Arabidopsis thaliana: one gene and its partners. The protein of the gene in region 1 purifies or fractionates together with the protein of each later gene. This does not show direct contact. Each region holds a gene or a part of one and is shown in the gene's direction. Other genes may lie near its edges.

Evidence for each region.
Region 2: the proteins of AT2G47250 (region 1) and Hop1 fractionate together in Arabidopsis thaliana (co-fractionation; one large-scale study listed by BioGRID). This does not show direct contact.
Region 3: the proteins of AT2G47250 (region 1) and AT4G22350 fractionate together in Arabidopsis thaliana (co-fractionation; one large-scale study listed by BioGRID). This does not show direct contact.
Region 4: the proteins of AT2G47250 (region 1) and Hop2 fractionate together in Arabidopsis thaliana (co-fractionation; one large-scale study listed by BioGRID). This does not show direct contact.

The regions. Positions count from the first base shown.
Region 1 is NC_003071.7:19,398,118-19,405,926, reverse strand, and holds AT2G47250 (RNA helicase family protein), read left to right. Parts: upstream 1-2,882; 5' UTR 2,883-2,945; coding exon 2,946-3,236; intron 3,237-3,313; coding exon 3,314-3,516; intron 3,517-3,602; coding exon 3,603-4,687; intron 4,688-5,110; coding exon 5,111-5,236; intron 5,237-5,332; coding exon 5,333-5,571; intron 5,572-5,674; coding exon 5,675-5,793; intron 5,794-5,877; coding exon 5,878-6,004; 3' UTR 6,005-6,279; downstream 6,280-7,809. Other genes in the region: WRKY23 (WRKY DNA-binding protein 23), read left to right, coding at 34-177, 450-882; AT2G47245 (long chain acyl-CoA synthetase), read right to left, coding at 7,055-7,138, 7,353-7,416, 7,499-7,743. UniProt on the Arabidopsis thaliana protein: May be involved in pre-mRNA splicing.
Region 2 is NC_003070.9:4,168,976-4,175,963, forward strand, and holds Hop1 (stress-inducible protein), read left to right. Parts: upstream 1-3,059; 5' UTR 3,060-3,129; coding exon 3,130-4,008; intron 4,009-4,143; coding exon 4,144-4,432; intron 4,433-4,574; coding exon 4,575-4,660; intron 4,661-4,761; coding exon 4,762-4,985; intron 4,986-5,069; coding exon 5,070-5,136; intron 5,137-5,235; coding exon 5,236-5,295; intron 5,296-5,486; coding exon 5,487-5,600; 3' UTR 5,601-5,755; downstream 5,756-6,988. Other genes in the region: SUMM2 (LRR and NB-ARC domains-containing disease resistance protein), read right to left, coding at 5,900-6,988. UniProt on the Arabidopsis thaliana protein: Mediates the association of the molecular chaperones HSP70 and HSP90. Mediates nuclear encoded chloroplast preproteins binding to HSP90 prior to chloroplastic sorting.
Region 3 is NC_003075.7:11,802,339-11,810,284, reverse strand, and holds AT4G22350 (Ubiquitin C-terminal hydrolases superfamily protein), read left to right. Parts: upstream 1-2,867; 5' UTR 2,868-3,345; coding exon 3,346-3,699; intron 3,700-3,836; coding exon 3,837-4,081; intron 4,082-4,358; coding exon 4,359-4,443; intron 4,444-4,516; coding exon 4,517-4,702; intron 4,703-4,795; coding exon 4,796-4,963; intron 4,964-5,057; coding exon 5,058-5,195; coding exon of another isoform or gene 5,196-5,219; exon of another isoform or gene 5,220-5,564; coding exon 5,565-5,736; intron 5,737-5,829; coding exon 5,830-6,004; exon of another isoform or gene 6,005-6,115; coding exon 6,116-6,212; 3' UTR 6,213-6,454; downstream 6,455-7,946. Other genes in the region: AT4G22370 (uncharacterized protein), read left to right, coding at 1-116; AT4G22360 (SWIB complex BAF60b domain-containing protein), read right to left, coding at 625-747, 958-1,160, 1,249-1,420, 1,510-1,621, 1,927-2,474; CDS2 (cytidinediphosphate diacylglycerol synthase 2), read left to right, coding at 7,664-7,810.
Region 4 is NC_003070.9:23,228,058-23,235,046, forward strand, and holds Hop2 (stress-inducible protein), read left to right. Parts: upstream 1-2,864; 5' UTR 2,865-2,968; coding exon 2,969-3,844; intron 3,845-3,942; coding exon 3,943-4,231; intron 4,232-4,323; coding exon 4,324-4,409; intron 4,410-4,511; coding exon 4,512-4,735; intron 4,736-4,832; coding exon 4,833-4,899; intron 4,900-5,001; coding exon 5,002-5,061; intron 5,062-5,209; coding exon 5,210-5,323; 3' UTR 5,324-5,486; downstream 5,487-6,989. Other genes in the region: NG1 (Pentatricopeptide repeat (PPR-like) superfamily protein), read left to right, coding at 1-974; AT1G62730 (Terpenoid synthases superfamily protein), read right to left, coding at 1,147-2,061; SCO1 (Translation elongation factor EFG/EF2 protein), read right to left, coding at 5,565-5,732, 5,821-6,333, 6,405-6,989. UniProt on the Arabidopsis thaliana protein: Mediates the association of the molecular chaperones HSP70 and HSP90. Mediates nuclear encoded chloroplast preproteins binding to HSP90 prior to chloroplastic sorting.

The DNA.
Region 1 (7,809 bases):
AAGTATCCTAAAGAAAGCATTTTTAATGAACAGGTTGAAAGCAAAGAAGAATAATCAGAAGAGACAGAGAGAGGCAAGAGTCGCATTCATGACAAAGAGTGAAGTTGATCATCTCGAAGATGGTTATCGCTGGCGAAAATATGGTCAAAAAGCTGTCAAAAACAGTCCTTTTCCCAGGTATCAGCAAATATATCCATATCCTTTGACCATAGTTTTACAACAACAAGAAGAAAAATCAAATCTTTTTCCTTGTTGTTTTGTTTCTTCTTTTTTGATTTGCTCTTGGGTACATGCACTATGTTAATTTGTTGGATCTAGCACTGTCCCATTGTTTCTTAATGTTTGGGTGTTAGTGTTTACTAATTAAATTTACTACTGTTTACAGTGTCCAAAGAAAGACTTAATTGTGAACCAAAGTTGATTTTGTGTAAATGGTGTTTCGTTTGCAGGAGTTACTACCGTTGCACAACGGCTTCATGTAACGTGAAGAAGAGAGTGGAGAGATCATTCAGAGATCCAAGCACTGTGGTTACAACCTACGAAGGTCAACACACTCACATTAGTCCACTCACGTCTCGTCCTATTTCCACTGGAGGTTTCTTCGGATCGTCAGGAGCTGCTTCGAGTCTCGGTAATGGTTGCTTTGGGTTTCCTATTGATGGCTCCACGTTAATCTCTCCTCAGTTCCAACAGCTTGTCCAATACCATCACCAACAGCAGCAACAAGAACTCATGTCTTGTTTTGGAGGAGTCAACGAGTACCTTAATAGCCACGCTAATGAGTATGGTGATGATAATCGTGTGAAGAAGAGTCGAGTTTTGGTTAAAGATAATGGACTTCTGCAAGATGTTGTTCCGTCTCATATGTTGAAGGAAGAGTAGTAGTATATATATAGTCTTATAGTTTTAATCTAGTTTTTTTTTGTATAATTGTCTAAAAGAAACGGATCTTTTGTTCTGATGAAGAAGATGTTTTCTTATGGTTCTGAAATCGTAAGGTAATGATGATTGTACCAAGCCGAGAAAGTACTTGTGATTTTCACCATTGAATCACTATAAATGTAATTTTTATTTACTGTGAACTTATATTATAAATGTGTGAACTTATAATTTATAACACAAAAATGCACCAGATTCTTAAAAAAAATATGTGGACTAGTAAACATGATTTTGTAAATATTAGGATTGGCAAAAACTTCTTAATCGCATAATAATAATTTGTCGTTTTGTAAATTACTGATCGTAGGCGATTTACAACAATGGTCGTCTTTTAAAATTTGTTATGGGCTTTGCATGAACACTATGTCAAAGCTAGGCTTTGTAGTTCGTGTTTTTTTTTTTAATTGAAAACTTATTTGATCTATGATTCTAATATAGTAGCCTTCTAGGGTTTCAGGTTAATCAATCTCTCTCTAGTCAAATACACAGTCAGTTAATTGTTTTTTGTTTGTTTCGCTTCGATATATGTCTTGGAATCTGGAAAAATTAACTAGTTTCATAGTAATCAACAAGATTAATTAAGCGAGATAACTAAAGAGGAAATTAATGCGAAACTGGAAGCATAAACCCAACTACTTCTACCTACTCTTCTCTATGTTTCTATCGACCCTTCATGATTTCTCTTATTTATTTTTAAAACTTTATTTACCCCTTTTGTTCTTGTTGCTGTTTCATGATTACACTGCGGTGAAGAATAAAGACGTATGCACTGTGTTATTGTTGTTAGCTATTTTCAATTATTTAAAAAAAAAAATTCAAAACAAAGGAGAAAAATTTGTCACTCTCTTCACTAATTTTAGTCTTCTTTTAAAAAGGGTTTGGTTAAAATGGTTGTGAAACAGAGCAAATACCAATCATAGCTTTGTGTCATCCCCAAAGGGCATAGACTTGTGGCCTTGTGAGAATAAAGTAGAGAAACAAGTTACCATGCAAATAAACTTTTTTTGTTTCCTTTTTCTTTTTGTTACTTTTGTAGCCATGTGTGTGTGAGAAAATGTTCTACATAACAGAACAAGGAAGGAAAAACAATCTTATGAGGTAATATCACTTTTTTGTCTTTTTGTCTAGTGAGTGCATAGCAACGCCATTGGCTTTAGTATGTTTGTATTGACCTTTACGGTGAGTGATAATCCCTAACCGAAGAAGGTACATAATCATTGTCCCAAACAAAGCCACGAATGCAACCGAAAGCAAACGTACCAAAACTCTCGATGGCTTAAAAGTAAATGACTAAAAGACAAACTTAAGAGACCCATTGTATCAAAGAAAACAACTAACAATTTTGCTCATCATGTCTCCAAGTTTATTCCACTTTCAATATACATTTGTTAGATCCAAAAGACTCTCAAGCCGTAACAATATCATTGAAGAAATACTTATTTTACCTTAGCAGTTTTGAATCAAAACGACAATAGCTACTAAAGAAGAAGAAGTCAATGAAGGTATTCAAACCCTGATGTCAAACTCAACCTTGGGGTAGTAAATTTCGAATTAAGTGACGATCAAATTCGCAGTCTCAAATGCTTTCTATGCACTTCGTATTGCAAATGCAATGCTTAAGGATACCCTTAATTCTATTTGCGTCAGTCCACTTTTTTTTTTTTGTTGTATTTTGTTTAAGTGGTGTAAGTGTTTTTTTCTCTTTCTATTGTACCATATCCATCCTTGTCAAAGTAAGAGGAGGCTGGAGAGGTTCTTTGTGATCAATAATCAAAATGCTAGTGTTTTTACTTTTTAACAAACAAAAAAAGAATGAGAGAGTCAGAAAAATATATTCAGAGAAACATGGGCTTTACATACATAGGTCGGCCCACAAGGGAACTTAACGGGCCTTGGTGCCTAAAACAAATATCAAAAGAGACAAAAGGGGTTAACCTGAAAAGTCCTCGCGCCGCTGCTTATCGTTGAGCCTAAAATCTATCTGTCTCTCGTTTTGTTCGTTCGTAATGGGTACAGAGAGAAAACGGAAGGTTAGTTTGTTCGATGTTATGGAAGATCCTTCTCTTTCGTCGAAGAACACCAAATCCAATGGTCTCGGACTTGCGGCGGCGGCTGGTGGTGGAAGCAATCTGATCAACAAATGGAACGGAAAGGCTTATTCTCAGAGGTATTTCGAGATTCTGGAGAAGAGGAGAGATCTTCCCGTTTGGCTCCAGAAAGATGACTTTCTCAATACTTTGAACTCTAATCAAACTCTCATACTCGTCGGTGAAACTGGTAGTGGTAAAACTACACAGGTAGCTCAAGCTTTCAATTTCGATTTTGGAATTAGTGTTTAGTGTGATCCAACATAACATTTCATTGTATTCTACAGATTCCACAGTTTGTATTAGATGCTGTGGTGGCTGACAACTCCGATAAGGGAAGGAAATGGTTGGTTGGATGTACCCAGCCTCGTAGAGTTGCTGCAATGTCTGTGTCTCGTCGTGTTGCTGATGAAATGGATGTCTCCATTGGTGAAGAAGTTGGTTACAGTATTCGTTTTGAGGATTGTACTAGCTCTCGTACTATGCTTAAGTGAGTGTTTTTGTTCTTCTTTCTTTGGCTTCTCAGCTTTATAACGTTTCTGTTCTGATCATAACCTTTCTCTCCTGTTATTACAGGTATTTGACTGATGGTATGCTTTTGAGAGAGGCAATGGCGGATCCGCTTTTAGAGAGATACAAAGTTATTATTCTCGATGAAGCTCATGAAAGGACTCTAGCCACGGATGTGCTCTTTGGTCTTCTCAAAGAGGTCTTGAGGAATAGGCCTGATCTTAAGCTAGTTGTCATGAGTGCAACTTTAGAAGCTGAAAAGTTTCAGGAATATTTTAGCGGTGCTCCTCTTATGAAAGTCCCTGGTAGGCTTCATCCTGTTGAGATCTTCTATACACAGGAACCTGAGAGGGATTATCTCGAGGCTGCTATAAGGACTGTTGTTCAGATACACATGTGCGAGCCACCTGGAGATATTCTTGTTTTCTTAACTGGAGAGGAGGAAATAGAAGATGCTTGCCGTAAAATCAATAAAGAGGTCAGCAATCTTGGAGATCAAGTGGGTCCTGTCAAAGTTGTGCCTTTGTATTCTACTCTTCCACCTGCGATGCAGCAGAAGATTTTCGACCCTGCTCCAGTGCCGTTAACAGAAGGTGGTCCTGCTGGACGAAAGATTGTTGTCTCAACCAACATTGCTGAAACCTCTCTAACCATTGATGGGATTGTTTATGTTATTGACCCTGGTTTTGCTAAGCAGAAAGTCTACAACCCACGGATTCGAGTTGAGTCATTGTTGGTGTCCCCAATATCAAAGGCAAGTGCTCACCAGAGATCAGGTCGTGCTGGTAGAACTCGCCCTGGAAAATGTTTTAGGCTCTACACAGAGAAGAGTTTCAACAATGACCTGCAGCCACAGACATATCCTGAGATATTGAGATCAAACCTTGCAAATACAGTCCTGACATTGAAAAAACTTGGCATTGATGACTTGGTGCACTTTGATTTCATGGATCCTCCTGCTCCTGAGACACTGATGCGGGCATTAGAGGTTCTGAATTATTTGGGAGCACTTGATGATGAAGGTAACTTGACAAAGACGGGTGAAATAATGAGTGAATTTCCCTTGGATCCACAAATGTCAAAGATGCTCATAGTCAGTCCTGAATTCAACTGTTCCAATGAGATTCTCTCGGTTTCTGCAATGTTATCAGGTACATCTTCTACTCGTAAGTATGGTTTGTCTTCTCCAAAGTTCATTATAGATGTCGGTTTACTTGAGCGTACTATGTTTCACTTCACTTGAATTTACGGAAATAAGTCTGTGTGTATGTGAACGCATCTATAAGTATGTCATACACATGAACATCTACTGCATCCCATGTGTCTTCTTAAAATTCACTAGTGTCTGTGTTTGCCATTCAATTTTAATCTTAGAGTTAGGTTGTCATAAGCAGCTCACTAGTCACTAGTTTGGGGTCTCCATGTCCATGGTTGGGGAGTTCTAAGTAAAACCTGATGCATCTAGTTGCAGTTTCTCAGTATTCTCACAAGCAAATGGTATCGTCTCTCGCCTCTATGCATCTGCTGACCTCTTCCATGGGCATATTCTGTTATAAAAACAATTCTTTCTCTAGTACCGAATTGCTTTGTCCGGCCTAGAGAGGCTCAAAAAGCAGCAGATGAAGCTAAAGCTAGGTTTGGACACATTGATGGAGATCACCTGACGTTGCTAAACGTGTACCACGCCTACAAGCAAAACAGTGAGTTATTTTTTCTCTATCTGCAACTTTTCTCTTATAGCTGCTTAAGACAAATGAATTTACCTCACCAACCCTGCTCACTTGAAATTCTCATAGATGAAGACCCAAACTGGTGTTTCGAGAACTTTGTCAACAACAGAGCAATGAAATCTGCAGACAATGTCAGACAGCAGCTAGTGCGGATAATGTCGAGGTTTAATCTGAAGATGTGCAGCACGGATTTCAACAGCCGCGACTACTATGTCAACATAAGAAAGGCCATGCTTGCTGGTTATTTTATGCAGGTGGCTCACCTAGAACGCACTGGCCATTACTTGACCGTCAAAGATAACCAAGTATGTCTTGTTTTTTGCATTCTGTTACAGATTTTGATTTCCCGATTATAAAGAGATCCTTATAGCTTACATCTGACGGGTTGCCTGTAAATTCTGGTGGCAGGTGGTTCACTTGCATCCATCTAATTGCCTGGATCACAAACCAGAGTGGGTGATTTACAATGAATATGTCTTGACTACTCGGAATTTCATACGCACTGTTACAGATATCCGCGGTGAATGGTTAGTTTCCATCTCTGGTTCCTGTTATCTCTTGTTTATCAACATCCGATGGATTAAAAACCGAATATCTTTGCTTGTATATAGGTTAGTCGATGTTGCTCAGCATTACTATGATCTTTCCAACTTCCCCAACTGTGAAGCAAAACGAGCCCTCGAGAAGCTTTACAAGAAGAGAGAGCGGGAAAAGAACGAGAGCAAGAACCGGAAGTGAAGAAAATCACTCTCTTTGCTTCGACTAGAGGATCAAATCACTCAGAGAAGAATGTCTTAGTCACAAGACCACTATGATTTACCCTCGTCTTAAATTATGATGGATACTTTGCTTTGTTTATGTTCAATGAAAGAATCTTGCATTACTCAAAGTGTGTTCTTTTAAAACCTCTGTTTGGCAACTCTATATAACAATGTTTCTGATAATCTCAAGTATGAGCTTCAGTCCAGCTGATAGCGTCTTGCTCTTCGCTCTGGTCCTCGTGATCAATCTCCTCAACTAAATAACACTAATTGACCAGCCCTTCCTAAAGAGATCCACCATACATGAATAATCCTCCTTTTCTGCAGCCATCCCAAACCCACCCACCCATCAGGCCATCAACATGAATTGCTTTTCCCCTTCAAATATAGTCAGTTTTTAATTGACCCATTGCAGTTTGGTAACCATCAAATTAATTTAAATTAAATTGTTGATTTTTATGCACCTATCATAGAACTAGTTCAAATTTCCGGAAATAGAAATATAAACAAGCATATCGCCATCAAGTTTTATAATGAGTGAATGATGATCTTTTTCTTGTCTCAACTGATACAAACTTTAACTTTGTTACCACTAGAGAAATATCATCAAGGATTACACATCATATGCTTTCACCTGAAAGAGGTCTTTGTCCTACAAAGTTCACTCCTTCCTCTGCCCTCATTAGTGCCAGATCATCAATAAGAATAGAATTCATCATGCTACCTCGTGAATTCTGTGGTAAACAGACTTGCATTTGTATTTTATCAAACAAAAAAGGTTCCCAAAAAAAACAGATCTGCAGTAATTTTCTCAACCATCTGAATGCTAACACTAGTAGTCAAAGCAAATTCAAACTTCAATATGAGCTTGAAAACACACAATCTCAGATTTTCCTAATAACCAACTAAGTAATTAAGTTCACCAGGCCAAAGGCCATAACCAGTTTCCCATTTGGTATCACAGAGAATCCTTCATACAATCTGTCACAAAGTCTTGAGGTAACCTAATATACTAAACGCATACGAATCACTCTCCAGCTCGTAGCGCTGAGCCGATCAAGAGAACTTCTTCGTATACTTCCTTGTACGTTTTCCACATATACGGTCCAACCTAAACCGATCCATACAAATATAGAAATAAAACAATATGTACAGAGAGTTTTAATCAGTAACCAGAACATACATCATATAGATTTGTATTAAAGTTGTTGTTGTTGTCACCAATTTGATAGAATGCATATTGTTGGAAACGAAGTTATGTATACAAATTTATTTTGACCAGAATGTTCTCTCTATTTTTAGTATGAAGCATTCAAGAAATTCACCTTCTCATCCACAATTTGACGCCATCCAAGCATCTTGTTATCAGGAAATTTTTCCACAGATTTACTAACAAAACCCAAAAGATATTAATTAACAATCAAAGAGATATCATATAAGAAAATTAAACCTGATTATTAACAATATATACCTGAAAATGTCCCAAGTAGTGATGATATCAGAATCTCGAGGAGGAAAACCTTTCTCCGACAAAAGATTCCGGTACACCGGACCTGCAGACGACAAAAACACTTCATTTTCTCTTTCTCTCTTATGTTTTCCTTTGAAGGATGATTGAACATATATATTGCATATTTCCGAAATAGTGAAAATACGTAATCGTATATTTAGATTATTAAACAAAATCGTTGAAATGAAGATATGTTGAAGTTTCATTAGGTGATCAGTGACAGCTCCCCGGTTACGTATTCCGTACTTTAAATTCGTTATACATAAATTACG
Region 2 (6,988 bases), on another chromosome or scaffold:
CCTTCTAAAAAATACCCTTCTACTATATACTACCGTAGAACCTACAATGATCATCATGACACATTAAGTAATTACGGCCAAATAAATAATCGAAAATAAATGAACGGTGCAAGTCCAAGGCTTTTTTCTTGTTCTAGGGTTTAGAGGGAATTTGCGCATGACTCGTGTTGTATATCCATTTGATGAGAAGATATATTTCTTCACAACTTGTCCCATAACCCTAATCATTACAAAAATTCCCTATGAATTAAACCACGTGGGAAGTTTGTTCCTTTTGTCAGTTTCTTGTCCCATGAGAAAAACTTGTTACATGTGAAAACACTTCCATGTGAAAGATTCTACCATCTTACTTATTGTTTGGTTTGATCTTACCACTAGTGATGATGTACAGCTAGCCAACGTACAGCCAGTGTTTCAAATCGGCTCGTTAGTTTTAGGGTTACATAGCGCCGAACTTTTTAGTTTTTTGAGAAAAATACTCAACTTCAGATGATTCAGTACCGATTCATATATGACCAATTTTCTTAGATTTGAGTCTGGTTAGACCAAATCCATTACACATTTACACCCCGTCGCTTTTTTTTGTTTTGTTGTTATAGATATGCCTGAAGTTGCTTTCTGAATGGCCACAAAACTGAAATGATCAGATCAAATATGAATGTTTATAAAACAAGATCAAAATCTGGATGGATCGATCCATAGAATCTCATGGCGTCATTTCCATGCCAATTGCCAAAACGAGCCCGGACTAAGTAACACCATTGTGACATTTATATTTATCAATAATGGTTATTTGTATTATGTGTTACTACTTACTACTAGTAAGTTACTAGATATCCAATCTCCGAAAATAAGTTCTATGTAGTTTTAAATGATGCATATATATATGCGAGACAAAAAATGTTGCATGTAAACAAAAAATGCTGATTATTGTGAAATATATTAATTATTTTTTTTATTTTTTTGTTATGAAGGTCATGTTAATTATTTTAAAGACTTTGTTTCAAATAAAATAAAAAATTAATTTTAAAAAATCATATATTTGGTATTACAAATTTTTTGAGGTAATAGTTGTAGTTGACTTTGTAAATAATTTACCAAAAAAAATTATGTTTGAAGTGTACTCTGCCCCAGTAAATAATATTTAGGGCCACCACTATCTATATTATTCAATAAATAAGCGCACATAAAATTCTAATAATTACTTTTTTCTTAAATCCATAATAATTAGTAAGCTAATTATCATTAATAATTATACGTAACAATAGTCTAAATGCATGGCTTTAATCACTATACCATGCACCAAACGACTAATTATTTCATGCGATATGAATCATTGAATACGAAAAATTACTGGAAGATTTCAAATCGACGAATACTAACTCAACAAACTCAACTAATAATGACCTTTAAACAGTTTGGATTATAAATTTATTACCCAATTCAAGAGATAAACAGTAAACCCAGTGACAAGTAGATATCTGAAATTTAAATTTTTTTGAACGGAATTGTTTTTTTAATTCATAGGAACAATTTTTTGGAACATCAATCAGCATATATATGGGTTTTTTTGGGGTCAAATTCAACAGCAAGCATGCATATGGTTTATAAACTTTATATATATGATTTTATTGTCAACCTTTTTTTTTTGGACAAACTGGTTTAATTGTCAACCTATAGATGATATTTCAAGAAAGACTGAATTCTATTTTGAGTTGACTGTATGAGTATGTATGAGTGTAAAAGTCAGCCATTTTGCAGAAACAAATATGCACATCGACGACGACCCTCATGATTTCATAGTTGGCCAGCTCAAGCCGTGTGTCAAATTATTACAAGTTACATTTATTATATTTTCGTTTATATATGCTTTAGAGAATGTAAGATGTAAATGGAAATGGGAGATATGATTGCATTTTGGTTTATATGTCTTCTTCGGAACAATAATACGAAATTATAGTAGTAATCATAAGATAAAGAAATTAATGAACAAAAATTTAAAAAGACTCATATTAAAATAAAGAGGGTAACAAAAGATAATGAAAATAACTCTCTAGATCTAAGCATGATGTGTCTATATACACCGACATTTTTTTCTTTTAATTAAGTGTATTGAAAATAAATTAAATAAGCCATGATTTTGATTTTGCAGTTTCGATTTTGATTTTGATTTTATTTAAAATGCTATATATGAGCCTGGTAACAGGAATGGTCGATGCAGTTTATTTCAATCTCAAGAGCTTACATGTGAAATACACAACTCAATAGCTTTCACTATTTCTTGAACGAAATTGACGAACAAGTAACAAAAAGAAAAATCGAACCGGAGAAGAAATCGTTGGTCTACCAATAACCGGAGTCTCCACGACAGTACAAAACCGACACCGTTTCTTAGTAATTTTATTCTTAAGATACAATATAATTTTATACTCGTATCCAAACAGTCCACACACAACCCCAAAACAAAAGTAAGAAAACTTGTAGACAAAAGTAAACAAAAGTAAACAAAAGTACGATAACAAAACTCTATACTCGTAGACAAACTTCACCGAACGTATTTAGCTAAAGAAAACTTGACCTCAAGATTTTCTTGTCTTCTTTAATCCAGGTGCTTGTAACTATGATTCCATATTACTAAAAACATGCATGTCTCCTTAGCAAAGAAAATCACAAGTAAGAAATGTATCATAATGATGAAAAATGCTATGAGACTGGTAACAAGAAATGGGTGATGAAAACAAATTCAATCTCAAGCAACAGTTCTCACTTAGAAGTGAGATCAGTTCAGGAGCTTTCACTATTTCTTAAATGAACTGAAGAACAAGTGAATACAAAAACAAAATCGAACCGGAGAAATGAAACTCTAAACAATGGAACCGGTGAATAAATCGTGGGTCTGCTGATAACCGGGATTTCCACGACAACACAAAACGACATCGTTTTATAAGATTCTTTATTATTAAACGTAACGAGGATAATTATAAACCCGGACAAATATCCACTAACAAATTCTATCCTCATATCCAAACAGTCCCTCAATTTCTCAAAACCCCAAACAAGTGTTCTTTTCTTATAGAGAGTAGTCTCCCAAGAAGCTGCAGAGACTTGCAAAAATCTCAGATTCAAACAATGGCAGAAGAAGCTAAAGCTAAAGGAAACGCTGCTTTCTCTTCCGGTGACTTCACCACGGCTATAAACCACTTCACCGAAGCCATAGCTCTTGCTCCAACCAATCACGTCCTCTTCTCAAACCGTTCCGCTGCTCACGCGTCGCTTCATCAATACGCCGAAGCTCTCTCCGATGCGAAAGAGACGATTAAACTCAAACCGTATTGGCCTAAAGGTTATAGCCGTCTCGGTGCTGCTCATTTAGGGTTAAACCAGTTTGAGTTAGCCGTCACTGCTTATAAGAAAGGTTTAGATGTCGATCCGACTAACGAGGCGTTGAAATCTGGATTGGCTGATGCGGAGGCGTCTGTTGCTAGGTCACGAGCTGCACCGAATCCGTTTGGTGATGCTTTTCAAGGACCGGAGATGTGGACGAAGCTTACGTCTGATCCTTCGACTAGAGGCTTTTTGCAGCAGCCGGATTTTGTTAACATGATGCAGGAGATTCAGAAGAATCCTAGCAGTCTTAATTTGTATTTGAAGGATCAGAGAGTGATGCAATCTCTTGGAGTTTTATTGAATGTTAAGTTTAGGCCACCGCCGCCTCAGGGAGATGAGGCTGAGGTTCCTGAGTCTGATATGGGTCAGAGTTCTAGTAATGAGCCTGAGGTTGAGAAGAAGAGAGAACCGGAGCCTGAACCGGAACCGGAGGTGACAGAGGAGAAGGAGAAGAAAGAGAGGAAGGAGAAAGCTAAAAAGGAGAAAGAGCTTGGGAATGCTGCGTATAAAAAGAAGGACTTTGAAACTGCTATTCAGCATTATTCTACTGCTATTGAGATTGATGATGAAGACATCTCGTACCTCACAAATCGTGCTGCTGTTTATCTTGAGATGGGAAAGGTATGATTTTCATATGTGTAATGCTCTTTTGTTTTGTCCCTTTATTTGCTGATAGGCTAGAAGCCTAGAATGATGATTTGCTTGTTATGTGCTACAATGGTGATTAGTTTTTAATGTCATTGTGTTTTGATTCAGTACAATGAGTGCATTGAGGATTGTAACAAGGCTGTGGAAAGGGGTAGAGAGCTTAGGTCAGATTACAAGATGGTAGCTAGAGCTTTGACTAGAAAAGGGACTGCTTTGACTAAGATGGCCAAATGCTCGAAAGACTATGAACCTGCCATTGAAGCTTTCCAGAAGGCTCTTACAGAGCACCGTAACCCTGATACGTTGAAGAGACTTAACGATGCGGAAAGAGCAAAGAAAGAGTGGGAACAGAAGCAATATTTCGATCCTAAGCTAGGGGATGAAGAGCGTGAAAAAGGTGATTGCTTTAGCAATTAGTCTCTTTTTTTTTTTTTGTGTGTGTGTGTGTGTGTGTGTGTGGGAAAAGAAAGCTTATAGAACCCTGAAAACAAGAATGAATTAGCGTTTTTACTGCTGCTGTTGTGGTGTATTTAATACAGGTAACGATTTCTTCAAGGAGCAGAAGTATCCTGAGGCCATAAAACATTACACCGAAGCAATCAAAAGGAACCCAAATGACCATAAAGTAAGGGCACTTCATCATATTTATATGTTCTTAAGGTCTTCTACAATGATTTTCTATTCCGACTGTTTGAGCAACTCGTACTTTTTTTGCACCTATGTTAGGCATATAGCAACCGAGCTGCTAGTTACACTAAGCTAGGTGCAATGCCTGAAGGACTAAAGGATGCAGAAAAGTGTATTGAGCTCGATCCAACCTTCTCTAAAGGATACAGCAGAAAAGCTGCAGTCCAATTCTTCCTCAAAGAGTACGACAATGCGATGGAAACATACCAAGCGGGTCTCGAGCATGATCCTAGTAATCAGGAACTTCTTGACGGTGTTAAAAGGTATATACACAGATACACAGAGATTATTAACTTTTCTATCTATTGCCATGAATTTGTTTAATGTGGTTCAAATCTATTCTGCAGATGTGTACAACAAATCAACAAGGCTAATCGCGGAGACCTTACTCCTGAGGAATTGAAAGAGAGACAGGTTAGTTACATTCTGATGATTCTCATGTTTTCTCCCCCCATTTGTGATTGAAAGAAAACCCGGGAAGCTAACTTGGATTTCTCCTTTTCTTTTGTGTAGGCAAAGGGAATGCAAGACCCAGAAATCCAGAACATCCTCACAGATCCTGTAATGAGACAGGTAAATAAACAAACTCTGTCGTAAATTGTGATTGTATGAGTATGATGCAATTTTTGTTTGAATCGAGTTTCTTATTACCAATGTTACTCTGTTGTGAGATGTCTAGATAGATCTAACTATGTTTTTACGTGTTGGTTCGAGTTTGCATGTGATAATACCTCTTAACATTCTAAAACCTTTCTTCCAAACAGGTACTGTCTGATCTTCAAGAGAATCCAAGCGCAGCACAGAAGCACATGCAAAATCCAATGGTTATGAACAAGATTCAAAAGCTTATTAGCGCTGGGATCGTCCAGATGAAATAAACTCAGAAGAGTTGAAACATCGAATATCCGTTTTGGCAGATTCATTTTTTCTCTTATATCTTTGCAATCTGCAACAATTCTAGATTTGTGACCGGCTGATTTCCCATGTTTACTGACGTTGTGTTCCGAACAAATTGCAATCATATTTTCTTCTGATATAACATTTACTGCGATCCTTAAAGTTATGTTGCTTTACATCTCTATACCATTTGGAGCATAAGAGAGCAAATGGCTAAATACACAACGACTTTGTCATTCACAAAATTTGAATCATTTCATTGCTTCAGCTCTACAAATTGCTACCGCACATAACTAACTTGCCATTCAGGTCCAAAGAACTTGAAAAAAGGTAAGAAACGGAGTCTTGTGGCTTCGTTGTCCCATTCAACCCTTTCAAGCCATTCTTCCTCTTGGTACTTAATGACAAGTTCTTCATCCCTTATGGCAATTTCAGAATCCAATGGAAGCTTTCTCAGCTCAGGACACTTCGTTATGTGAATTGTCTTCAGACATGGAAAAGACAGAGGTTGCCAGTAGATGCTCCTCAACATCGCTAGATTGTGTAGGCGTAGACTCTCTAGTTTCTGGAAAGGAATGATACCACTCATAGTCATAGCTTTCTCTTGGTTTATTATTCCTTCTACTAGTTCCGAGTCCAGAACCTCGAGACTAGTGAGGTTAGGAGCGAACAACAACCACGTCAAATCCTTCAGACCATCACAGCTACTTATATGCACAGTGGAGAGGTTATGGAGGAATTGAGTTTTGGGACTTCTGTTCGATGATAATGATAAAGTTTTCCTCTCTATCTTTATCTCACACATTCCACACTTCCTTATGATGACTTTATTGAGATTATCCATATCTGGCAAAGTCAATACTCCGGATGATTCTTCCTGAACTCCTCTAAGTACTAAGATTTGAAGACATTTCACCAACCTGGGAGCATTTAACAACTTCTCCACTACCAAGCTTGACTTGATACTTATGTTTAGAACTTCTAAATGTTCTAATAGCTGCAACTCCTCCACTAAGCTCATGTCTAGCGACATTTTAGACTGTAAAAGTTGCAATTTCCTCAAACTTGATATATTTGATATCCCTGAAATACTCTTAAGTCTCTTCATGTAATCCAATCTCAAATATCTGAGCTTTTTCAACTCTTGTAGACCGACAGGTAGCCGCTTAATGTATGTCCACGACAAGTCAAGATAACGCAAGGAGACTAACTTTGATATTTGGTTAGGCAATTTCCGGAGACTTGAATTCCCTGATAGATCCAAAACAACTAGCATTGGGATACACCGGAAGAATTCATCCGAGATATGTAGCAATGAATCATTTTTCTGAAGGAACAGAGTTGTAAGTTCCAGGCATTCGGGACTGCC
Region 3 (7,946 bases), on another chromosome or scaffold:
TAGTCACTTTCTTGAGACAAGCAGAAAACACAAGGAGACAAGCAATGGCACTCCTGCTACTTGTTCTTCTGCTGCTTGCTGCAGCCGCTTTCTACGTCACACGTCTGAGATTCTGATAAAAACACAGCAAATAACATGGAAGATAGCAGGAAAAAAAACCATAGCATAGGGAATAAGATTTTTCTATCAGTAGGATGCAAATATTTCCAACAGGGAAAACATAGTTAAACACATGAGTTTTTTTTTCCTAAGACATTCATGGGTGAATGGCGTTTAATACAAAACATCTGCGCCGTTTCACCCTTAACACTAGAGTTTCGGTACAATACTAAATACAACATCAACCTAAGCATGTCGATACACAACCAACTAAAACAAAGAACCCAACGGAAGATTAAAATAGCATTAAAGGAAGTTAAAAGTGAAAAGGATCTTTTCTTCCCTATCAGAGTTCTACAGCAAGGAGTCATAAGTAGGTTCCCTAGATACACACCTGCAAGAGAGTTGTGATACAGAAGTCAATTACCATATTTGGACAATGCTGATATATAAGTATCATAATCTGTTAAATCAAACTTCACTTACACTAGTAGTTCCTAGTTAATTAAGTCAGACCAGAAGATATCACGACTGCTTGTACATATGGCGCCTCAGCATCTCATTTATCCCCACAGCTGAAATGCTTTCACATCCAAGAAGATCTCGGAGCTTTTCATCACACTGAATAGCCATTGGATTTACTGGGTCCTGAAAGAAAATTGAAAAGCAGAATAAACAAATCTTAATTTTCTTGTTTATGGCCATTCACTATGCTCTATAACATAAAGTTATGTGAAATCCTATACTGTAAATTATCTTATAGAGTAAACCACAATACCAGCTTTAGTTAGCAGCAAACAGGAAAAAAATTCGAAGCAATAAGGAGAAACCAGAGGATTTCAAGATTAAAATCATTACCTCTAAATTGTTGAGTTTTATGTATTCCCAAACACGGCGAATAATCTCTTCGTCTGCCATCTCCGTCTCACCAGTGCCAAAGAACTTACCAAGTGGCTCAGATAATGTAACAGTTGAACTAATAGCAGTTGAACTAATAGGCTCGGTGGTCTCAGTCTTAGTCTCCACCTCAGTTTTTGCCTTTTTTGCTTGACCAGAGTCCTCTGCCAAAAGTGACTCAAACAGTCAGTAACCTTGAACAAACCAAGCACAGTTGGAACTCAGCAAAAAACGCTTGTGTTTAACCATTACTTGATGGATCAAGCGGGAGAATATGCTTAGCAAGCAACTTATTCATCTTGAACATGTCAGTGCAATCAGTCTCAAAAACCACACGCAACGCATCATCACAGATGATCTTCCGCTTGTTACTCGGGTCTTGAAGGTTATTCTTCCTTATATAAGCCCACAATTGCCTCACAATCTAAAACCAAAAGCCAAACACAGCAACACATAAATAACAACCACAATTGCTTATACACATTATAATCATAAATGAAAGACAATGATAACCTCAGTTCTAGGAAGAGCAGGTTCACCAACAACTACTTCAAGTTCTGGAGAAACCCTACAGACTTTGTTTAGTCCTCCAGGACCACCCTTTCTTTTAGTTCCAGCCGGAGCACTGCAAAGGAAAAGTTGACAAATTTCGTTGATGTGCCAAATTTAGGTAGATCAGAAAGAAATAATCACACTATAATAGAACGTTGTATGAATCAATGTGCTAAAAATATCACAGGATGATAATTCTAAACATGAGCATGTAAAACCTAAAAACCCGTAAATGAACAAAATTGACAAAAGATTTAGACATTCCTAAAATGGAAAATCATGTTTTCCATGAAAGTAGCAAAAGCCCTAAATTACTGAAATTGGAACAACCTTGAGCAAAATTACGTACCAACATTTGAAATATGTTGCAAACCCTACCTTTCTTTTGGGGCTTGATTAACAGATAGAGAAGCATTCCCGCCATGTGAGAGCATCACAGAGGATTGTTGTTGTCGCGGAGACTGCTGCTGATGCTGGTGCTGTTGCGGCGGCATGTAAACCGGATAAGGCTGCCGGAAATTTAGGTCATAAGAGTGATAAGGAGGCTGAAGAGCGAAATGTGAAGGATATTGTTGTGATTGAGAAGAAACAGAGAATTGCGAAGGATGGCTAAGTGTGAAATGCCCTTTCGCCATCGGAGGAACATTGACGCCGGAATGCAAATTCTGCTGCTGGTGAGAAGACGGCGGAGGAGGAGGGTGAGATTGTTGTACGGATGAAGCGGAGGCGACGGAGGCAGAAGGGTTTTGGTGAGCACGGAGGAGGATATTGATCTGATCTCTGATGAAAGTCGTCTTCTCCGTGAGGTCTAACCCTAACTTAGCTTCAAGCTGCTGAACAATACTGCTTAACGATGTGAGAGAGCTAGGGTCGGATTGTCGAAGCAAAGTCTCGACTCCTTTCGCTAGATCCTGGTCCGACACCATTGTCGAGAGAGAATTTCAAAGCTTTTTTTTTCATACACACAAAAAAAAAAACTTTTTAAGGAGAAAAAAAAAAACAAATACCCCACAAAAGAAAAAGAAAAAAAGACAACAAATTCTCTATATCTTTCTCTCTCTTATCCTCTTCTCTAATCTTGTCTCTTTCTCTCTCTCCTTCTTCGTCTCTGTCTCTTTATAACTATTTGGAAAGACGAATATGCCCTTCAGGGTTGGTTAGATTTATCAAATGATGACAAATGTCGGTGTTGCCCTTATGAGTCATGGTATCTATGGCTTGTAGGTAGAGGGTGTTGTCGTATTTTGGCTAATCTATTTGCTTTTTTACTTCTTCGCCAGCTGGCTTTAACTTCAGAACTCATCTCTTTACTCGTGGAATGTCGAATACGTCCTTGTAGATTTTCACGCGTTTATAGTTTGCTTCGAGAAGCTTGAGGGTATTAATGGTTATTCGATAAGTATCGGATCGTGAATACAGATCAATTACTGAATACTGCTGACAGAAGTAATATAAATGGAACAGATTGTTATTGGGCTATAACAGTGTGGCCCAATAATAAATATTCGGCCTTTTAACCGAGTTAATCAATCTGGGTGAGACTTGAGTCGGCTCTTGAAGCTTTAATAGGTTGTTTGTTTAACGTCTGCGTTGTGGCGGATTTTGAAGTTTCTCGAGAAAATTGGGAACGAGAGATAAGTTCGAGTAGATTCGCGACTGTCGACGCTTCTGATTTGAAGTATTTGGCGTTTTTTGGAAGAGTTCATTGCTTCTTTGGTTGAGGATTCTTCGTGAATCGCTGGGATTTTGTGTTCTAAGGTTTTTGAAGCAAGCTTTAGCTTAGGGAAAATTTTGAGAATGAAAGGTGAAAGAGAAGTGAAGAATGGTGTTTCTGAGGAAGAGAGAGAGGTGAAGAGGAAGAGAGTGATGGAACGGTCTGATTCGCCACCTCCACCACTAGGTTTCAACAATCCTCTTTTGCCGTTTGCTAATGCTTACGATGATGATAATAACCAGCAGAATAAATCGCAAACTCGTTGTAATGTAGTTGCGAAAGGAGAGGGAAATGGTAACAAAGTGAAAGGAGAAGCTCAAGTAGAGGTCGATGACGACGAAGATGATGATGATGATGCTTCGAAGGGGAGAGGAAAGCATTCACGCCATGTTGAAGTTCGTCGTGATTGTCCTTATCTTGATACTGTTAATCGTCAGGTATATCATTGACCAATTTCTTGTGTTTGGTACTTGTAATGTATCTAATCTATGGTGGATCTTTAAGCTTCTGCTAGGTTCATTATATTGCTGGTTTGAGATTAGCGTTTAAACTCATATCTTATGGTTGATTTCAGGTGTTGGATTTTGATTTCGAGAGGTTTTGCTCTGTCTCATTGTCAAATCTGAATGTGTATGCGTGTCTTGTTTGTGGGAAGTACTTTCAAGGAAGAAGCCAGAAGTCTCATGCTTATACACATAGCTTGGAAGCAGGACACCACGTTTACATCAATCTTCTGACAGAGAAGGTTTATTGTCTTCCTGATAGTTACGAGATCAATGACCCTTCTTTGGATGACATTCGCCATGTTTTAAACCCAAGGTATATTAGATCTTGTGACTAACTACATCATAGTTCTTACTGCATTTTGGGTATTGATTTGTGAACATGTGAGCCTTTGCACGTAGTTAACAACAACAAAATTGCTTTGACTATTATCTCAATCAGTTTCTTCTTACTAGTTCTCTGTATCATCTACCATCTATTTATATTTTTTTGCATGATAGCTTGAACATATTACTCTTCTTTCATGTTTTGTCAATTTTTCTTTGATTTTTCAGTTCCTTTGTATGAAGGCTTCGGTGCTATCCATTTACAGGTTTAGTAGAGCACAAGTAAACGAGCTTGACAAGAATAGGCAGTGGTCTAGGGCTCTTGATGGCTCCGACTATCTTCCAGGAATGGTAATCCTTTCTCTTTGATTACACTTGATCTTGAAATTAATGTCTCCTAAAGGTTAAGCTTGTAAATATGTAGGTGGGGTTGAACAACATACAAAAGACAGAGTTTGTGAATGTTACAATCCAGTCGTTGATGAGAGTTACTCCTCTAAGGAATTTCTTCCTCATTCCTGAAAATTATCAGCACTGCAAGTCTCCTCTTGGTCACCGTTTTGGGGAACTAACTCGCAAGATTTGGCATGCTCGAAACTTTAAAGGACAAGTCTGACTCAATTTATGCCTCTCACTTTTTTAGTTTTTGTTATGCACTCACCTATTGAGGACCTCGCTAATTTAAGTTACCTTGCATCAACAGGTGAGTCCACATGAGTTCTTGCAAGCTGTCATGAAAGCCAGCAAGAAACGCTTTAGGATTGGCCAACAATCAGATCCAGTAGAGTTTATGTCGTGGCTCCTCAACACTTTGCACATGGATCTTAGAACTTCAAAGGACGCTAGCAGTATCATCCACAAGTGCTTCCAGGTATGTGTCCGTCCTTTGAAATGTCAACATAATGCAGTTTGATATAATTTCTTACAAAAAAGCTGTATCTCATGTAACCTGTTAACCATTACAGGGTGAGTTGGAGGTTGTGAAAGAGTATCAAGGCAATGAAAACAAAGAAATCTCCAGGATGCCGTTTCTGATGCTTGGGCTAGATTTGCCACCGCCTCCTCTTTTCAAAGATGTCATGGAGAAAAACATTATTCCGCAGGTATATGGCTATTTCAAATCTTGAAAGTCTTGCTACTTTGTGCCATTAAAAAAATGCATTTCAGAAAAATGATAACGTGGAGTGCTAGAAAACTTATGATTCTCAATATACAGCTACATAAATAATGTCACATTTGGTTGAGATACAATTAAGGGATTCTTAAATAGTGCCATTGCCAATTTAATGTCCTGGAGTAAACTTTCTTTTTCGAATCTAGTTCATGACTTGCGAAAGTGTAGAATTCTCTGACTCATTGGTTGTTTGGAGCTCCTGTAGCCTTTATGGCTTGCTACCTCGTATATGCGTCTTAGAGTGTTTAGTTTGCAAAGTGAGGTTAGTGGAATCTAATTTCTTTGATTTTTGGGTCAGGTTGCTCTATTCGATTTATTGAAGAAGTTTGATGGAGAAACGGTGACAGAGGTGGTTCGGCCTAAGCTGGCCAGAATGAGATACCGTGTAATCAAATCTCCTCGTTACTTGATGTTCCATATGGTTCGGTTCAAGAAGAATAACTTCTTCAAAGAGAAGAACCCTACATTGGGTGAGTCTGTTTGAAATTTTTGTGACGTTAATGCTGTATAAGGATCCCCTAATACCTGGTTAATTTGATACAATTTCTTTTTCTATGCCACAGTTAACTTCCCAGTGAAGGACATGGAGCTGAGGGATTACATACCATCATTGCCTAGAGCACCAGAAGGGGAGAATGTGTGTTCAAAGTATAATCTAATCGCTAACATTGTACATGATGGTAAGCCTGAGGACGGGTACTTCAGAGTCTTTGTGCAGCGCAAGTCACAAGAACTATGGTAAGCTTTCTCAATCATTAACTATTATTGTGTTTCATGTTCACAAATGCATGATCTAGATCTGTGCATAAGAAAGATATAAATTCATTTGGGGGATAATGTCCATTGCAGGTACGAGATGCAGGATCTTCATGTTGCAGAGACACTTCCCCAGATGGTAGAACTATCGGAAGCATACATGCAGATATATGAGCAGCAGGAAGAATAGAGCCCTGGAAAGAAACTGACTTCATTTGGTTTAAGAGTAAAAGTGACCAGTTTTATCTTGGAATGAGATTAGAGATTTGTTTCACAACTCTTTTGGAAAAAGATTTTTGGACCCCTTTAAAGGATAGAGAGCCTGTTGTATCATAGTGAAAAACCTTTGGTAAAAAAACACATATATGAGTTTTGGGAAGAGCTTTTGGTAAAAACTAAAAACGCATATTGAAAGAAAGCGACCTCTTCAAATTCTCAAACTTTTGAAATTTTGTAGTAAAAAACACATGTGAGTTCCCTTAATATAGAAGTGGCTGTTTTTCGAATTTATTTGTAACAATGAAAGAGGAATAGAATCTAATTCACTATCTCTACTTTTGGCGATTCTATTCTATTCCATCGTCCAAAAAAAGAATTGATTCTTTTTTTGTTTTCATTAACCAATTCTGGAAGATTATGAGCATTGAACATAACAAGGTAACAATTTGCAACTTTGTAGAAAAGAGTTCATAATATTCTCGAATTTTTAATTGTCATTTCAAGTTAATATAGAGGAGGACCTTTACCTTTAATTAAAATATTATATCCCTTTATTAATTGTGGCTTCTAGAATCAAAAGTTAAAAGATTCGAGAAATAAGGAGAATCATTTTCGTCTTCTACTTAGTTTTCTTCAACTCGATTTCTCTGCTCCATCTTCTTCCTCGTCTTCTCATTCTCTCTCGCTCTGGCACAGTAGAAACTGAGCTCACGAAAGCAGGTTTCACGTCTCTTCCTTATTTACCTCATTCCTGAATCATATGTACATAGTTTTGTTTAGATATGTGTTTCGTCTCCTCAATCCTCAGATCTCCACGAGAAACTAGTATTGGTTCCTCTTTGTTATTCTCCTTAGCTCGTGTGATTACTGACACCATTAGTGAAGATTTCCAGTATTTCCATAAGTATTTCGGCTGCTTAAATTTGGGTTTTATTCCCGATTTTACTCGTATTTGTCCCATTTTTCCTGTTTAATTGTATTTCTCTGTGAATCACTTATGTTCATTGCTTTAGATTCAATAAAATTTTGAGTGAAAAATCCTACTGAGAGCGTTTACTTATGGGGAATTTATCAAGTTCAAGTTTGAATTGTTGTATATTGAGTGTTATTAAAGAGTTTCAATGAATCAATTGGATGGTTTTTTGTTTGGGTTGCTCAACTACCTATGAGAGTACAAGCTTCAAATTGTTTAGAATGCTGGTGATTTTGTTTCCGTGTTTTAATAAAAGCATTTATTGGTGAGAGAGTTTGGAGTACATGTTATTGATATAAGTACATGTCATTGATTGATTCAGATGAGTTTTCTACTTATATTTGCAAATTGATTCTAAATTTACTCGACTTTTTTTTTGGCTTATCAATGATTTTTAGTTGCCAGAGTCTTTCTATCTTTTTTTTGTATTCTGACGTTAGACTAAGGTGATGCTAGATGTACTCAAGTTCAATTTTAAATTTTCACAGGTAGTCAGTGTTTTTGTTTCGAACTCTTCCAACATGCAGAAGGAAATTGCTGGTGATGCTCCATCAGCACCAACCACTCGTGTTCGGCATCGGAAGCGAAACAGCGATGTATGTTTGCCATTATTCAATATTTTAGCTGTCAAATTAAATCGGAATTCACATTGTTTTTGGCTTAGTTAAGTTGCTTTTGTTGTATAAGGATTTATTTGGTCCTTTTCTACTTATGTGATGTAGAAGCTATTCT
Region 4 (6,989 bases), on another chromosome or scaffold:
TTAGTAAAATGGAGGAAATGGGATTTAGACCAGATGTTGTTATCTACAACACGATCATCGACGGTTCTTGTAAGATCGGGTTGGTGAATGACGCGGTGGAGCTGTTTGATCGGATGGAAAGAGATGGGGTTAGAGCTGATGCTGTTACTTATAACTCTCTTGTGGCCGGTCTTTGTTGTTCTGGTAGATGGAGTGATGCAGCTCGGCTAATGAGAGATATGGTAATGAGGGATATTGTTCCTAATGTCATTACTTTCACTGCGGTGATCGATGTGTTTGTGAAAGAAGGGAAGTTTTCGGAGGCGATGAAGTTGTACGAGGAGATGACACGAAGGTGTGTAGATCCGGATGTTTTCACTTACAATTCGTTGATCAACGGTCTTTGTATGCACGGTCGGGTAGATGAGGCCAAACAAATGCTTGATTTGATGGTAACTAAGGGTTGTCTCCCCGATGTAGTGACTTATAATACTCTCATTAACGGGTTTTGCAAGTCTAAGAGGGTTGATGAAGGAACGAAACTCTTCCGCGAGATGGCTCAAAGAGGATTAGTTGGTGACACTATCACATACAACACTATAATCCAGGGCTATTTTCAAGCGGGTAGACCAGATGCGGCGCAAGAAATTTTCAGTCGGATGGATTCTCGTCCCAATATTAGGACGTACAGCATTTTGTTGTATGGGCTTTGTATGAACTGGAGGGTAGAGAAAGCATTGGTGTTATTCGAGAATATGCAAAAGAGTGAAATAGAACTTGATATTACTACTTATAATATCGTCATTCACGGGATGTGCAAGATTGGTAATGTTGAAGATGCGTGGGACTTGTTTCGTAGCCTTTCTTGCAAAGGACTTAAGCCTGATGTTGTGTCCTACACTACGATGATCTCAGGCTTTTGTAGGAAACGCCAATGGGATAAATCAGATTTGTTGTACAGAAAAATGCAAGAAGATGGGCTTCTTCCATTATAACATATGAAAACTGTATATTATTTGTAAGTAAAAAACAAATTCTTTATTTTGTATTCATCACCATTTGTAATTTTGTATTATTACAAAAGAAATACAAGTAAGCTGGAGTTTAATGTAAAGTCTTTGAAACCAGAAATAAAAGAGGCAAGAAAAGGGAGATAAAGACAAGTTTTCAAAACATTGCTCTCCATGAATACCACTTGAGTTTAAACTGAAACAAGAGTGGAGGAACACCAAGAACTCCTCTTTGAATCCTGGGATCAAACACATCGAATTGTACTTTATTTAACGAATCCAGAAGAACTTGTACCGGCACAGAATGAAGCAGTACCGGTTTAGCTTCTGCAGGAACCTTTCCCGCCAGTTCACGGGCTTTCAGGAGATGTGCATTGGCAACAGATGCAATCTCAAACACGACATTGCTTAGTCCTTCTCTTGAATCGTTATCCAGAAGAATTTCTAATCGTCCACCTTGTTTCACGAGCAACCCGTGCTTCTCAGCGAGATCTGCAGGGATGTAACTCTGGTGACGGTTTCTGGTACAGTGGTACGGTAATGATTTAAGCAGCAAGACAAGACCACTGGCTTTACCAATGTGTGAAGCTGCATGATCAGCTGTTGTTGAACTAATTCCGCCTGCTTGGAGTGTATTGTACAGAAGAGTGGAAACTGTGTCTTCTGCGTATTTCTCTAGCTCCGCAATGCTCTCTGGTATATCGTCTACTTCTCTTTGGGCATCTCGGATTCTAGCGTCAACTGAGCGTTTTAGCCAAGGTTTACTGATGTTATGTTCTGATATTGCCCAAGACAGAGCTTGTGCAGCTGGATGGTTTATGGGCTTTTTGGTGTAGAGTTTGTCAATTGCTTCTTGCCACCAAAGTAACCGCATCAAGCCGATTTTGGGATCAGATGCAACATCCATGGCTCTTGCGGTTTCTACATTAAAAGCCCGGAGAGCAAATGCTGCTTTACGCATCTCAGTTGGGAGTTCAAGGAGACAGAGGTAGTGATGATAGTCATAGTTTCGTACTTGCTGCACACAATAGGACAATGCTGAACGCAAACTACTCGAGCCTCCTCCATTCATCAGTATAACTCCAACTGTGTTTCTTTCTCTTATCCTACAACCATATAAACCACAAACAAGATCAGTTCATAAAAACAATGAAAAACTCTGGTTTCTTCTATCACTCCATTATAAAACAGTAACACAGAATTCATCTACAAACACAAGAGAAAATCCTCCAATTATCACCACTTCAAATAAATATACTGAATAATTCTCACTAATCCAGAGGTTTTGTGAACCGTTAAACTCATTCAGGAATTAACACAAACACTTGGTGGACAAAGCACTGGAATTGGTATTTAACAAACAAAATGAGAACTTTTCAACATTGCTTAACACACAATCATAAACCCAATAATCACACATGGATAACAAATGAGATCACTAAAGTTCACAGAAACTTTCCAATTAGTAATGTAAAATCGCTGGAAACCATTAATGTCGTCCAACAATAACGAAACGAGCAAAAAACACCTTACCCTAACTCGAAAAACTCTGAGATTCAAGTTTCCTATGTTTAGGAACTGAATCTACCATCCAAAATCCAAATAAAATCAACCTTTCGACCCGAAAATGGAAATCGAACTCTGAACAATCGTGCCGGAGAAGAAGCGTTGGGTCAATGTAGAGAAATACGTCGTCGATTAATATAAAACCACTAATGTTATTACACGACGTCGGTTCTGCTACAGTGTAACAGGAAGTCGGTTTTGTTATAAAATGACACGACGACGTTTTTATGTAAAGAACTGTTTAATGAATAAACGTGATTAGGATAGTATTAACCCGAAACCAAACACTCTTATATCGAACAAATATATATACACTCGTATTTATTCGCCTAAAGCCAAAAACCCATTAGCCCCTCAAGGTATCTTCCAGAAGCAACGAGAAGACCTGCAAGAGAAAATTTTCAGATTCAACTATGGCGGACGAAGCAAAAGCTAAAGGAAACGCAGCTTTCTCCTCCGGTGACTTCAATTCCGCCGTTAATCACTTCACCGACGCAATCAACCTAACACCAACCAATCACGTTCTCTTCTCAAACCGTTCCGCTGCTCACGCATCGCTTAATCACTACGACGAAGCTCTCTCAGACGCGAAGAAGACTGTTGAACTTAAACCAGATTGGGGAAAAGGTTATAGCCGTCTCGGTGCTGCTCACTTAGGTCTAAATCAGTTCGATGAAGCCGTGGAGGCGTATTCGAAAGGGCTTGAGATTGATCCAAGTAACGAAGGTTTGAAATCAGGTTTAGCTGATGCGAAAGCTTCTGCGTCTAGGTCACGCGCTTCCGCGCCCAATCCGTTTGGTGATGCTTTTCAGGGACCGGAGATGTGGTCGAAATTGACGGCGGATCCTTCTACTAGAGGGTTATTGAAACAGCCTGATTTTGTTAATATGATGAAGGAGATTCAGAGGAACCCTAGTAATCTTAATCTTTATTTGCAAGATCAGAGAGTTATGCAAGCTCTTGGAGTTTTGTTGAATATTCAAATCAGGACTCAACAGGCTGGTGATGATATGGAGATTGGTGAGGAAGAGATGGCTGTGCCTTCTAGGAAGGAGCCTGAGGTAGAGAAGAAACGAAAACCTGAGCCTGAGCCTGAGCCTGAGCCGGAGTTTGGAGAAGAGAAGCAGAAGAAGCTTAAAGCTCAGAAGGAGAAAGAGTTGGGGAATGCTGCGTATAAGAAGAAGGACTTCGAAACTGCAATCCAGCATTACTCTACAGCTATGGAGATTGATGATGAAGATATCTCTTATATCACTAATCGTGCTGCTGTTCATCTAGAGATGGGAAAGGTATAGTTTTCAAAGTGTTCTTTTTTTTTTGTGTGCTAGTCTAAAGTGATTTGCTTTGGTTAGGTTATGAGTCTTAATGTCTATGTGTTTTGTTTTAGTATGATGAGTGTATCAAGGATTGTGATAAGGCTGTTGAAAGGGGTAGAGAGCTTAGGTCTGATTACAAGATGGTGGCTAAAGCTTTGACTAGGAAAGGAACTGCTTTAGGGAAGATGGCTAAAGTCTCGAAAGACTATGAACCTGTGATTCAGACTTACCAGAAAGCTCTTACGGAGCATCGTAACCCTGAAACATTGAAGAGACTGAATGAGGCAGAGAGAGCAAAGAAAGAGTTGGAGCAGCAAGAGTACTATGATCCTAATATCGGTGATGAGGAGCGTGAGAAAGGTATATACTTTGCAATTGTATGTGCTGTTTGTGCGAGGAAGAATCTCTTAGAATTCAGTAAATGTAGCTGAACTAACATCTTTGTAACACAGGTAATGACTTTTTTAAGGAGCAAAAGTATCCTGATGCTGTGAGACATTACACTGAAGCGATCAAGAGGAATCCAAAAGACCCGAGAGTAAGGCGGATTCATCATCATATATCCTTCAATGTTGTGCTCAAAAAGAGTTCCGTATTTGACTGTTTTAATAACTTGTTTACTTTTTTGCTCGTCACATAGGCATATAGCAACCGGGCTGCATGTTACACTAAACTGGGGGCAATGCCCGAAGGATTAAAAGATGCAGAGAAATGTATCGAGCTCGATCCAACATTCTTAAAGGGATACAGTAGAAAAGGTGCAGTCCAGTTCTTCATGAAGGAGTATGACAATGCAATGGAAACGTACCAGAAGGGTCTCGAACATGATCCTAATAACCAGGAACTTCTTGATGGTGTTAAAAGGTATTTATATAAATAGGTGTTAAGTCACGGGGAGATTATTCGCTTCTGTTATCTAGTAATGTCAATATGCTTATGTAACATGTTTTAAACCATGCAGATGTGTACAACAGATAAACAAGGCAAACCGTGGCGACCTTACTCCTGAGGAATTGAAAGAAAGACAGGTTAGATTCTATTACTGCTTTGAAACTGCTTTGTTACGGGTTTAAGAGAAACCTGTGATCTTAAACTAAAACTTTTGGGATTTGCTTTCGTCCTTATTGCAGGCTAAGGGAATGCAAGACCCAGAAATTCAGAACATTCTCACAGATCCTGTAATGAGACAGGTAAAGAACACACTTCTATAGATGATGTTAGAATTCACAAATCTCTCTATGTTTAGATCAAACATCTCGGAGCAATCCTGGAAACTGAAATTGAGCTATCTCCATGTTGATATGTCTCACCAAAATCTAACACTTGTTCTTTGGACAGGTACTGTCTGATCTCCAGGAGAATCCAGCAGCAGCACAAAAGCACATGCAGAACCCAATGATCATGAACAAAATCCAAAAGCTTATCAGCTCAGGAATCGTCCAGATGAAATAAACGAAGCCAAGACATTGATTTCGATTTTGCTGAGTCATTACTCTTTTATAACTCCAAACACTAAGATCGAATTCTTCTCATTTTTCAGACTTTTCTGATATATCAATTTTTCTTTCTTTCTCATATCCATGCGTTTTAAGACAATAACAACCTTGTCTTCACAAATTTGATTAGCTTACATGTCTATATAGACCAAACAAAATCACAATAAGTTTTTATGTCTAGGCAAAACAAAATCTGTTTAAGCAGCAACTTCTTGATCCTTGGATGAAAGTTGGTTCTGAATATGTTGAGGAACAACGTCGAACTTAGCCAGTTGCATTGTGTAAGAAGCTCGACCTTTTGTCATCCCTCTCAATGTACTCACGTACTGAAACATCTCTGCCAATGGAACCAGAGAGTCGACCACCTAACAATAATAAGAACAACAATGTCAAAATCAGATTTCATCATCTAACAATTTAGGGGTTTTTTCGATCATTTTGAATAAAACATACCTTGAGACCACCGGGTTTGTCTCCGAAGCTGTTAATTTGACCTCTTCGTGAGTTAAGATCACCAATGACATCACCAAGATGTTCTTCTGGTGTAACAACTTCAACTCTCATGATAGGTTCAAGCATTCTCGGACCCGCTTTCCTCATCCCTTCACGGAAAGCTCCTCTTGCAGCAAGCTGGAAAGCTAGCACGCTTGAGTCTACGTCATGGTAAGATCCGTCAACTAGACAAGCACGGACATCAACAACCGGGAAACCAGCAAGCACACCGGTGCTCATACACTCCTCAAGTCCTTTCATGACACCAGGAATATACTCTCTTGGCACAGCTCCTCCTTTGATCTCACTCTTGAATTCGTATCCTGACCCTGCTTCCAATGGCTCAAACCGGACTGTAATATCAGCAAACTGACCTTGTCCACCTGATTGCTTCTTGTGTGTGTATTTCACTTCAGCTATTTTGGAGATACTCTCACGGTAGTTGACTTGCGGTGCACCAACGTTAGCCTCCACCTGAAAGATGAAAAGGAATTAGAAGCTTGGAAGCTTGAAGTAGAGAATTAGATTTATAGGTTATGTTTTACCTTGAACTCTCTTTTAAGTCTGTCAACGATAATCTCGAGATGAAGTTCTCCCATTCCTTCAATGACGGTTTGGTTCATCTCTTCATCACGAGAAAAATGGAAAGACGGGTCTTCTTGAGCGAGCTTGATCAACCCTGTCGCCATTTTGTCGATGTCTGCTTTTGTTTTTGGCTCAATCGCTACCTTGATGACGGGATCAGGGAAGTCCATTCGTTCAAGAACAACGGGGTTTTCTGGATCACTCAAGGTTTCACCAGTGATTGTATCTTTGAGACCCGCAAGAGCGATAATGTCACCTGTCAAAGCCACTTTAACATCTTCTCTGCTGTTTGCGTGCATTTCCAAGAGTCTTCCGATTCTCTCCTTCTTTCCTTTGTTAGCATTCAACACGTAAGAACCAGCTGAGATTTTCCCTGAGTAAACCCTCACAAATGTAAGAGAACCCACAAAAGGATCACTCATGATCTTGAATGCTAGCCCAGCAAATGGCTCGTCATCATCTGGTTTCCGTATAATGGTAATTTCCGGGTTCTCAGGATCTGTTCCATTCATCGGCGGGACTTCAACGGGCGAAGGCAGATAATC